Linked DNA regions of Canis lupus familiaris. The protein of the gene in region 1 binds, or shares a complex with, the protein of each later gene. Links are inferred from orthologs where the notes say so. Each region holds a gene or a part of one and is shown on either strand. Other genes may lie near its edges. The genes, in order: CMKLR1 and RARRES2.

Evidence for each region.
Region 2: the proteins of CMKLR1 (region 1) and RARRES2 are in contact, whole or in part, in a cryo-EM structure (PDB 8ZJG), measured with the Homo sapiens proteins. The link is inferred for Canis lupus familiaris from reciprocal best matches to the Homo sapiens genes CMKLR1 and RARRES2. Residues at the interface, in NP_001135815.1 of Homo sapiens: Asp20, Tyr21, Leu22, Asp23, Ser24, Ile25, Val26, Val27, Leu28, Phe88, Leu92, His95, Tyr103, His104, Asn116, Leu119, Ile120, Met123, Arg178, Leu183, His184, Gly185, Lys186, Ser188, Cys189, Phe190, Asn191, Trp203, Thr205, His217; in NP_002880.1 of Homo sapiens: Leu34, Phe37, His38, Phe60, Thr75, Ser76, Cys77, Arg96, Leu111, Gly112, Arg113, Leu114, Val115, His116, Cys117, Pro118, Ile119, Thr133, Leu136, Arg137, Gln139, Arg140, His146, Ser147, Phe148, Tyr149, Phe150, Pro151, Gly152, Gln153.

What each region holds. Positions count from the first base shown.
Region 1 is NC_049247.1:18,843,976-18,848,454, forward strand, and holds the start of CMKLR1 (chemokine-like receptor 1), read left to right. Parts: upstream 1-1,559; 5' UTR 1,560-1,751; exon of another isoform or gene 1,752-1,871; 5' UTR 1,872-2,006; intron 2,007-2,014; exon of another isoform or gene 2,015-2,246; intron 2,247-4,479. UniProt on the Homo sapiens protein: Receptor for the chemoattractant adipokine chemerin/RARRES2 and for the omega-3 fatty acid derived molecule resolvin E1.
Region 2 is NC_049237.1:15,398,585-15,402,927, forward strand, and holds the start of RARRES2 (retinoic acid receptor responder protein 2), read right to left. Parts: upstream 3,022-4,343; 5' UTR 2,968-3,021; intron 2,741-2,967; exon of another isoform or gene 2,601-2,740; intron 2,486-2,600; 5' UTR 2,415-2,485; intron 1,574-2,414; 5' UTR 1,551-1,573; coding exon 1,377-1,550; intron 1,142-1,376; coding exon 1,037-1,141; intron 103-1,036; coding exon 7-102; intron 1-6. UniProt on the Homo sapiens protein: Adipocyte-secreted protein (adipokine) that regulates adipogenesis, metabolism and inflammation through activation of the chemokine-like receptor 1 (CMKLR1). Also acts as a ligand for CMKLR2.

The DNA.
Region 1 (4,479 bases):
GCATTCTCATCAGTAAAACAGGTGAACCACATCTCCTTAGTGTCGTTGGGGGCTCACGTGACTTATTCCGTGGAAAGCCCCTGGCACAGGGCCATGCACACAGTGGGTACTTGCTGTTACTTCTTTCGTCTGGAGGCCGAGGGCTGGGCCCTGGAGCAAGACAGTCTGGGTGGAATCACAGCTCTCCCACCTAACGGCTGTGTGGCTTAGGGCAACTGACTTAACCTTTTTGTGTCCCAACTTCGTCATTGGTAAAATGAGGGCAGAAATGGTACCAACTTCGCAGGGTCACCCTGAGAATTAAGGAGCAAGGAGCCAGCACACTGTCTGGGTGTCAGCTCTTGTGTTTATTCTGCTGCTGATGCAATCATGCGGACAGCGAGCCAGGCACCAGGCTTCGTGCTGGGGCCAGAGCGGGGGACAGTTCCCTTCCCAACAGAGTTTCCAGTGCAAGGGAGAGAGATGCTCTAACAGGAGGGGACACTCCTGTGGCTGTGATAGAGCCCCAGGGGCCGAGAGCAGAACCCCCAGCGGTGGGGAAGGCTTCTGGGGAGGTGGTCCCCAAACTGAGATTTGAAAAGGTAGCAGGAGACCCTCTGAATAATAAATATATATTCATAGGAATTTTGCATAAGAAAATAATTGGACAAGTGTGCTATGGGGTGTATCTTACAGTTAAAAAGATGAAGTGAAACTAACCAATCACCAGGAAAGTGCGGATTCAATAATCCAGAGCTTGCTGTCTATGTAAGTGATAAATTGTCTGTATCCATTTGGGAAACAAAAATTAAATAAACAAACAAACCAGTGCATCGATTCATTGAAATCATGAGCAGCTGTTAAAACAGGGTAAGGTGTGTCCGCGTGCGCGCACACACACACACACACACACCTATCACTGAATGAAAAAGCAGGTTACACTATGGTACACGAAGTATGACTGTGCTATTTTCCATTTATATATAGAATGTGTGTGTGTGTTCATACCAAAGTGTTAATGATATTTCCCTCCGGGGAGCAGAGTTTGGGAAGAAAGCAGGATTTATATTTAAACAACACAGGGTCTGAATGTAGTTAAAGGTTTTGATGTATGTTGTCAGACAGCTCTCCAGAAACGGTCTATCAATGTATATTCCAATTATGCATAAGATTTTTGCTTCCCGGTGACATTTACTAAAACCAAACGTTATGAGACGTTTTAATCTTTGTTCATTTGATACTTCAAGAAAAATAAATCTCATTGCTGTTTTAATTTGCAAAGAAAGGAAGAAGGGAGCAGGAGGTCACGGAGCCGCACCTAGGCGGCCAGGAAGGGCATCCCAGCGGGCGGCGGAGAGAGAGGTGGTGGCCCAGGGTGCTGGGACATCCGGCTGCTCCGGAGGCCCTGGCAGGGAGCGGCCACTTCCCACAGCTGCCTGGGGCTCGCATGTGCTCCTGGTTTGCGCCCGGATGGTGGGCAAGGCTCCCAGCTGGGCTCTGCCGCCAGAGGGGCGGGTCGTCCTCAGCAGGCCCTGCCACCAGGCACCAGCCACCAGCCACCAGCCACCACCCACACGCCCGGCCCGGCTGGCAGGCAGGGGCAGCCTCCCCCGCGGCCCCCACTCCACGCAGCTGGCCGCCCCCAGCCTCGGCCAACCCAGTTTCCTGCCCCGCCCTCCCTCTCTCTCCTCCCTCCAGCTGTTTCTCTGGCAGAGTCCTGTCCCATTCAGGACAGCGGCTGCGCTCGCTGGAGGAGCTCAGGACAGCACGAGGTCTCCCGCAGAGCCCCCGCTGAGTGAGGGTTGAGGGGGTTCTAGGGGAGGCTGCAATCTGGTGGGGAGAGGGGGGTTCCAGGGCATCTTGAATGAATGGACACATTGCCTTCTGGACAGACAGCCGCAGCCAAAGAACGGTGTGACCGTGACCTCGAGAAAGAAGTCGGGCAACGGGGGGCCCCCTGCACAGCCTCCAGTGGCCTGAAGTCCAGGGGAACCCCTGGGAAGACCTAGGCGGAGACCAGCCACAAGGTATCACGCTCGGCTTTGACATCGCCCGGAGGGGCCAGGAACGGGGGATACCAGTAGGGAGAGGAGGCCCGGAGTTCTGCTTCACAGTTAATGTTTGTCAAGATGAAAACATCATTTGCAGGTTTCCGAAGTCGTGCATGCTAATTGTAAGAAACAGCAGGGCCGCCCTACTGTTAAAAGCTCGGTGTTTTCCTTCTCCGAGGCAGGTGCTTCCATCTTACAGGTGTCCTCATTTTACAGGTGAGCGAAGCGGGCTCAGAGAGGGGGAGGCACTGGCCCAGAGCTGCAGAGACCACAAACTGGGTCGGCGGGGGAGGTGGCAAGACTGGCATGAAGCCAGCGGCAGCGCAGCCCGCCGCCCTTGCCCTTGGGCTGCAGCTCAGTACAGAGAGGTCCCCTCCCCGAGGTGGCCTTTCGGGCGGCCCTCTCCAGCGCTCACACGCTCGCTCGCTCACTGATTTTCTCTGATGTTTGTTGAGTGCCTACTAGATGTGGCAGGCGTGTAGAAGTATGTAGGTGTGGACTCACGCACAGGTTGCTAACGTCTTGTTGGCACCCTCACCTCGTCCTTCCCCGCAGACTGGGAACTTCTATCTATATTCCTCCAGGACACATTTTAACGGCTGCACAGAAAGGCTCTCCTGGGGTTTATTTAACCCTTCCTCACTGTGGTGGTTTCCTTCTTACTTTTTTCCTTTTTTCCCCATGACTACAAACAGTGCTATGATGACCGCTCTTGTACCTCATCTTTGCACGTCTGGCCTATGGATACCTTACCAAAGGCTAAATCACTGAGTCGGAACACTGAGTGCTGTTCTTAAGGTTTGTGAGGCTTCTGGCTGTTTCTCTCGACATTTCTTTATTACTGCTGATTATCCCTTGTAATCTTACTGTTCATTTTGCTTTTATGATTATGCCGGTCAAGTCGGCTCCCACTTTTTTCTGTCAGCATGTTTATCTTTTGTTGATTTTTAAGAGTTCTTTGTATATGAAGGATTTGGCAGTGCTGGCTGCCAAATCATCATAATCATAACTGCTGCTCCATATAAGTCTGATCACTCCGACCATCTTGTGGTTCAGATAGGCCAGTGAGGAAGTGGCCAGGTTTGGGGGTCTGTCTTATTTTTTTCCATTAAGAGGCCTGATCCCCAGCTTCCCTTTTGGCAGCCCTTACTTCCTTTTGAAGACTGATCATACCTGCGGTTCTTGCTATCTTTTCTCCTTCCTCCGAACTCGCTCAGAGGAGAGACACTTTCATATGCCTGGGTTGCCGAGATGAATGTGATTGGCCTCCGGTGGTGGGAGGAGGGCAGCTTGGCATTTCCTCAAGAAAGAAGGCTTAACTTAAACCAGGGATGCTCAGGTGGTGGGGTGTCAGGCCCTGGGAAGCCCAAGGAGGAGTTCTCTCTGGTATCCAGGGACCTTCTCTGGACTCTACCAAAACTTCAGGGAATAGGTAAACCTTATCTTGGGTGAGGCACTCCCTTCTCTGGTTTGAGCCCTTTGGAGAGGTCTTTCTCTTGACTGTCTCTTCTGCTAGGCTGGGGGCTCCTTGAGGCCAGATTTGGGGGATTTACTATTCTCTCTGTATCCTCAGTAGGTAGGTGCTTGGTAAATATTTAATGAATAAATAAATGAACCAGGCCTTGGTTCTACTATCTGTAAGATGGGATGGGAGAGTCGAACAAAATCTCACCCCTTAGGTGTTTCTTTAATTAACTCCTCTCAGTTTGCAGACCACTTTACTGCCATGATTTTCTTGAATCTTCGCTATGGTTGTGTGATAAAGGTATTCTTAATATGCCCATTTTACAGATTTGGAAACTGAGCCCCAGGGAGGGGTTCCAACATTAGACCTCCACAAGAGGCACTGGTACATCATGGCCAGAGTTAGTTTGTTTGGGTAGATTTGAACCCAGTCTGCTCCCTGCCACCGAATGACATAAAATAAGTTATCTGTATGTTCCAATATCCTCATCTGTAAAATGGGAATGTCATAAAGATTAAATGAGATCACACACGTGGAGCACTTAGCAGAGGGCTTGTCACGTCATAAGGAGCTCTATAAACACGAGCTGTGATTCTATTATCATTTCTATACCACCTGCTGTCTGTACCTTCGACACCCATCTGAGCCAAATAGAGAGTATTATTAATTTCTTTAACAGTGTGTTATTAGTGCTCGGGTTCCCATCAGAGTCCAGAAAAACCTAAAAGCCTATTTCACTTGCTTTGAGCTACACTGCATGAATGTGGTTATTACTGCCAGTAATTACTGCCAGCTTCAAGGCTACAAGGTAGACCTGGGGCTTCTCAAAGTGCAGTCATGGGATTGCTGACATCAGAATAAGCATGAATAATATTATTCGTGCCGAATAATCATGAGTATTTCCTAAAGCTTCAGTTTTTTGAATCAGAATCTCCGAGATGAGGTGTGGGAGTCTGCATGTTGCACCAGCTCCCCAGTTGATTC
Region 2 (4,343 bases), on another chromosome or scaffold:
TCTTACCTGGTGAACCTGTGTGTGGATGGGGCAGTGGACCATCCGGCCTAGAACTTTATCTGCAGAGTTCAGCTTGATGCAGGCCAGGCATTTCCGCTTCCTCTGAGGGAGGGGAACGTGGGGCCGGGACAGGAAAGAGGTCAGGGCAGGCATGCAGCCCCCCCTCCAATCAGGGTAGAAGCTGGGGGTGCTGCCTGCAGTGGGGAGCAGCCCCCCTGGCAGGCCCTAGAGCAGAGGGGCAGGGGTCCTGGGGCCAGCTGGCTTCTGGTGCAGCCCACCTGGGGCCTGGGAGATTTCAGACGTCAGAGCACCCTATGGTTTTCAAACTATGGACCGTGTGTGTGTGTGTGTGTGTGTGTGTGTGTGTGTGTGTGTGTGTACGCGCGCGCGCAGATCTCCTTCCCCAGATGGGTTCTCCCCACCTGACTTTCACTGGGGCCATTCTGATGAACTGTTCTCAAAAGGTTTGACGTGAACACAGGGGTCCTGACATAAAAGTGTGGAAAATCACTGATACAATCCAGTCCCTCCCTTAACGGATGGAGGGAACAGGCCTTCAAAGAACCTACTGAGTCACAGGCTGGGGCTCGGAACAGCTGGGACATGGGGACTCCCCTGTAGCAGTGGTTATGCCCCCAGGGGGGCTGAATGCAGTCAAGCGCTGCATGAATCAGCCCAGGCTGGGCTGTCTCTATTTGGAGACTCAGAAAGTGGAGAATTCACGCGGCCTGGGCTGGGGGCCAGCTGAACCCCATGCCCGGGGCTTCTTTCACCAGTGGCCTGACGCCTGAGAGAGGAGCCCCGGGGGGAGGAGGACAGGAGGACAACATCAGATCCCCAGTCTCAGACTGAGCCTCTAGAAGTGGGACCACTGCTCCACCCTCAGGGCTTCTTGCTGGATCTCTCCACCTAAACCAAAATTACCAACCCTCATACTGAGCAAATGCCCCATCTCTCTCTCTTTCTCTTTCTCTCTCTCTCTCTCTCTCTCTCACACACACACACACACACACACACACCCTCGGTCTTCACTCACCCCATTGGGTTTGATTTTGCAGTTGGCTTTTTTCCAGTCCTTCTTCCGGCAGCTCGTCTGCTGGAGTTTAAATTCCAGCCTCACGAAGGTCCCTGCAGGGAAGGGCTGCCCACAGAGAAAGCCAGCAGCTGGCTGAGCATGCAGATCAATTCCTGGATGGGCCGGGTCCCTCCTCCCCCATCCCCCGCTCCTCCCCAAACAGCACATCTGAGAGGGTGGCTGGGGTGTCGGCCTCTCCCTGGAGAACTGGGTGCTTGTCGAGCCCAAGCACGTTTCCACCTGCTTCCTGGGAGCGCACCTGTGGCCTCAACCCCTCCCCTCCCCAGGCCACGCCACTAACCGTGTCCTCGGCTTTGTCCACACTGGTCTCCTTGAAGGCCCACTGAACGGGCGGGTGCTTATGAAATTCTTCCAGGGCCACCTGCAGGCCCCGCTGCTGTGCTGCGGTGAGCTCAGCCCTGCCCAGACCCACCGCGCCCAGCCACAGGGCCAGAGGGATCAGCAGCTGCCACATGGCCTCACTTGGTCGTCGTGGCCCTGCAGAGAGTGCTTAGTCCTCAGCCCTTCATGCCAGCCGCCGAGCTGCCCGCTCCCTGGCCCTGCCGCGGGGCTAGCGCAGGGGGGGCTGCCTGACCCACTCTGGGCCCAGGTTGGAGGGGCGGGAAGTGGCCCTTTTGTCGAGAGAGCCCTGGTATTCCCCTGGTCCCCTGCTCCTCCACCCTGCCCCCCACCAGTCTGGGGCCAGCCCAGCCCTGGTTGGGCCTAGTCCTGGGAAGGTGCTGAGCTGGTTTTTGTCCTCAGGCCAGCAGCGTGGGAAGCCCCCCCGCCCCCGCCCCCCCCCCCCCCCCCGTCTACTCCCACCCTCCCCCTTTCCCCTTCCCACTTTCCTGGCCCATTCCTTCTCCCCCGCTGCGGGGTCTCTGGTCCCCTGTCTGCCCGCTGCCCTCAGAGCTCCTCTCGGCTCCCCCATCTCAGCCTCTGGGGTCTGCTGGCTCGCTCCCAGTCCCCTGGAACCCTGGCCCCCGCACTCCCTCAGTCCCCCAAGGCTAATTCAAGGGGGAGGGGCAGGATATAGAATGGAGGCCAGCTGGAGGCCAAATATTTCTGGGAGGACGTAAACACAGGGGAGGGGCCCAGAGTAGGGTGGGAATCGGGAGGGTGCTTAACCCTCCCTGTGCTGGGGCTGCCCAGGACCACCAGCCTCCGGCCCTACCCCTGGCCCCACACCCTGGGGTCTCACCTCAGCCCCACCAGGGCTTTCTTCAGGGAGACCCCCTCCTCCTTAACTTCTTTTCTGGGTCTTCCCTGCCACTCCTCTCCCAGCCCTTCTGATCTGCCCCCTAATGCATGACTAGGGTTGCCTGAGGCATGGACTTACCGCTCGAACTCTGTGTGTTCCGGTGGCCTGAGAACAAGAAAGCTACAGATGTGGAGACGGAGGTCCTCTCGCTGAAAGATACCAGGTGTTGCCTTACAACCGGTTGACAGATCTCACCCCTGGAGCTGCTCCTTTGGCCCGTCTCCTTCCATCCAGCTGTCCCCCTGGCCCACTCTCCCCCCTCACCTCTTCTATGCCTCAGGGTCTCTGCTGCCCTTCTCCTGGATGACTCGACATCAGGCTGTTAGCCTCTTCCTGCCCCCCCTTCCTCTGGTCGGCCCCCATCTCCTCCCACTCCCACCCCCTAGGCCCCTCCAGCTTCCAGCCCGCCCAAGGCTCCTCCCCACCCCGTTAGGACCGGCCTCCTGGCAGCCTTCCGAGACCTTCCTCCCATCTACCGGCAGGCCTCTCTGCTGAGATCTTGCCACCAGACCTTGACCCCAACTCTGGCCAAACCACCCTCCCCTCCCCCTGGCCCAGGAGCCCAAGCATTTGGTGGTCTTGCCCCAGCCTCTCCTCCATAGGATATGGGGCTACCCTCCCCACTCCCTACCCACTGTCCTGCCTCTGTAGGGCTGCCCTCTTCTTTGGCCCCAACTGGGTGACCAGTTCCCAGCATCCTCAGACACACATTTCAGGAAATTCTTCCCAGAAATACAGCCATCTTCAAACCCAATGAGACCTTGAGGAGTCATTTGACCCCTCCTCCTGCCTCCCAAGCCCTAGAACCACACGGAGAAGGAAGGCATCTCTGTTAGAGATGAGTCTCGTGTTCAGCAACTTCTATAGGCAGCAAACATGTTCAGTCTTGATCCTGCACATCCCATCCTTAGTGGTGATAGATTCAGGGGTCTCGTGTGGGGCTTGGGGAGCCTGCAGGCGCAGCAGAATGGTACGATGGAATTCATAAGGCTAGTGTGGACTGGGAGGAAAATTGTCCAAACATTGCTCAACTCTCATGCATCCTAAGCAAATAGGAACAAGCTCCGCGACTCGGTGGGTCAGGAACCAGTCCTGCCATTTCTCTGGCTCAACCTATGCTAATTGCCCAAAACAGGGTCTTGTTTACCTTCCCAAATCCCTAGAACTTCTGCTTCCTTCTCTGCAAGGTGGGGATCAGAATCTCCATGCTAAGGGCTTGTTGTGAGGTTTAAATGAGGACCTTCGTGGAAAGTGACTGTTGGCACAGGATTTGGGGCAGATTTCCTCCTCTTCCCTATTCACCTCTGCCATGGATCTGCACAGGGAGCTGACAGCTTCCTCTTCAATGTGCTCTGGGGGCACCAGCAAGACCCTTGACTTGAGTTACCTCAGGCGGTTACCATGGTTCCTTCCCTGCCGTCATGTAGAACGCGTCATGTGTCTTGTCCACGGCTATCTCCTCTTCCATCTTCTTTCTCCTTGTGAATTTATACCTTTTTACTCATTTACCATTGTTTTGATGGAGTTTTGGGAGGGAGTAGGGATAAACATGTGTGATCCACCATGTTTAAATCAGAGTCTGTGAGTTATTAAAGAAGAAAATCACTACATATATAAATACATACACACACACACATATATATATCACTACTATAAATATATAATTGTGTTCCCCTAAAATTCATATGTTGAAGTCATAACCCCAAGTACCTCCAGAATGTGACTGTATTTGGAGATTTGGACTTTAAAGAGGTAATTAAGATAAAATGAGGTCAGAAGGTAGGGGAGAGGACCAATCCAATATGACTAGTGTCCTTATGAGAAGAGATTAGGACTTAGAAGGAGGACCATGTGAAGACACAGGGAAAAGACACCCACCTACAAGCCAAGGAGAGGAGCTTCAGAAGAACAAACCCTGCCAGCACCTTGATCTTGGACTTTTGGCCTCAAGAATTGGGAGAATAAGTTTCTATTGTTTAAACAACCCAGTGTATGGACAGTCCTAGC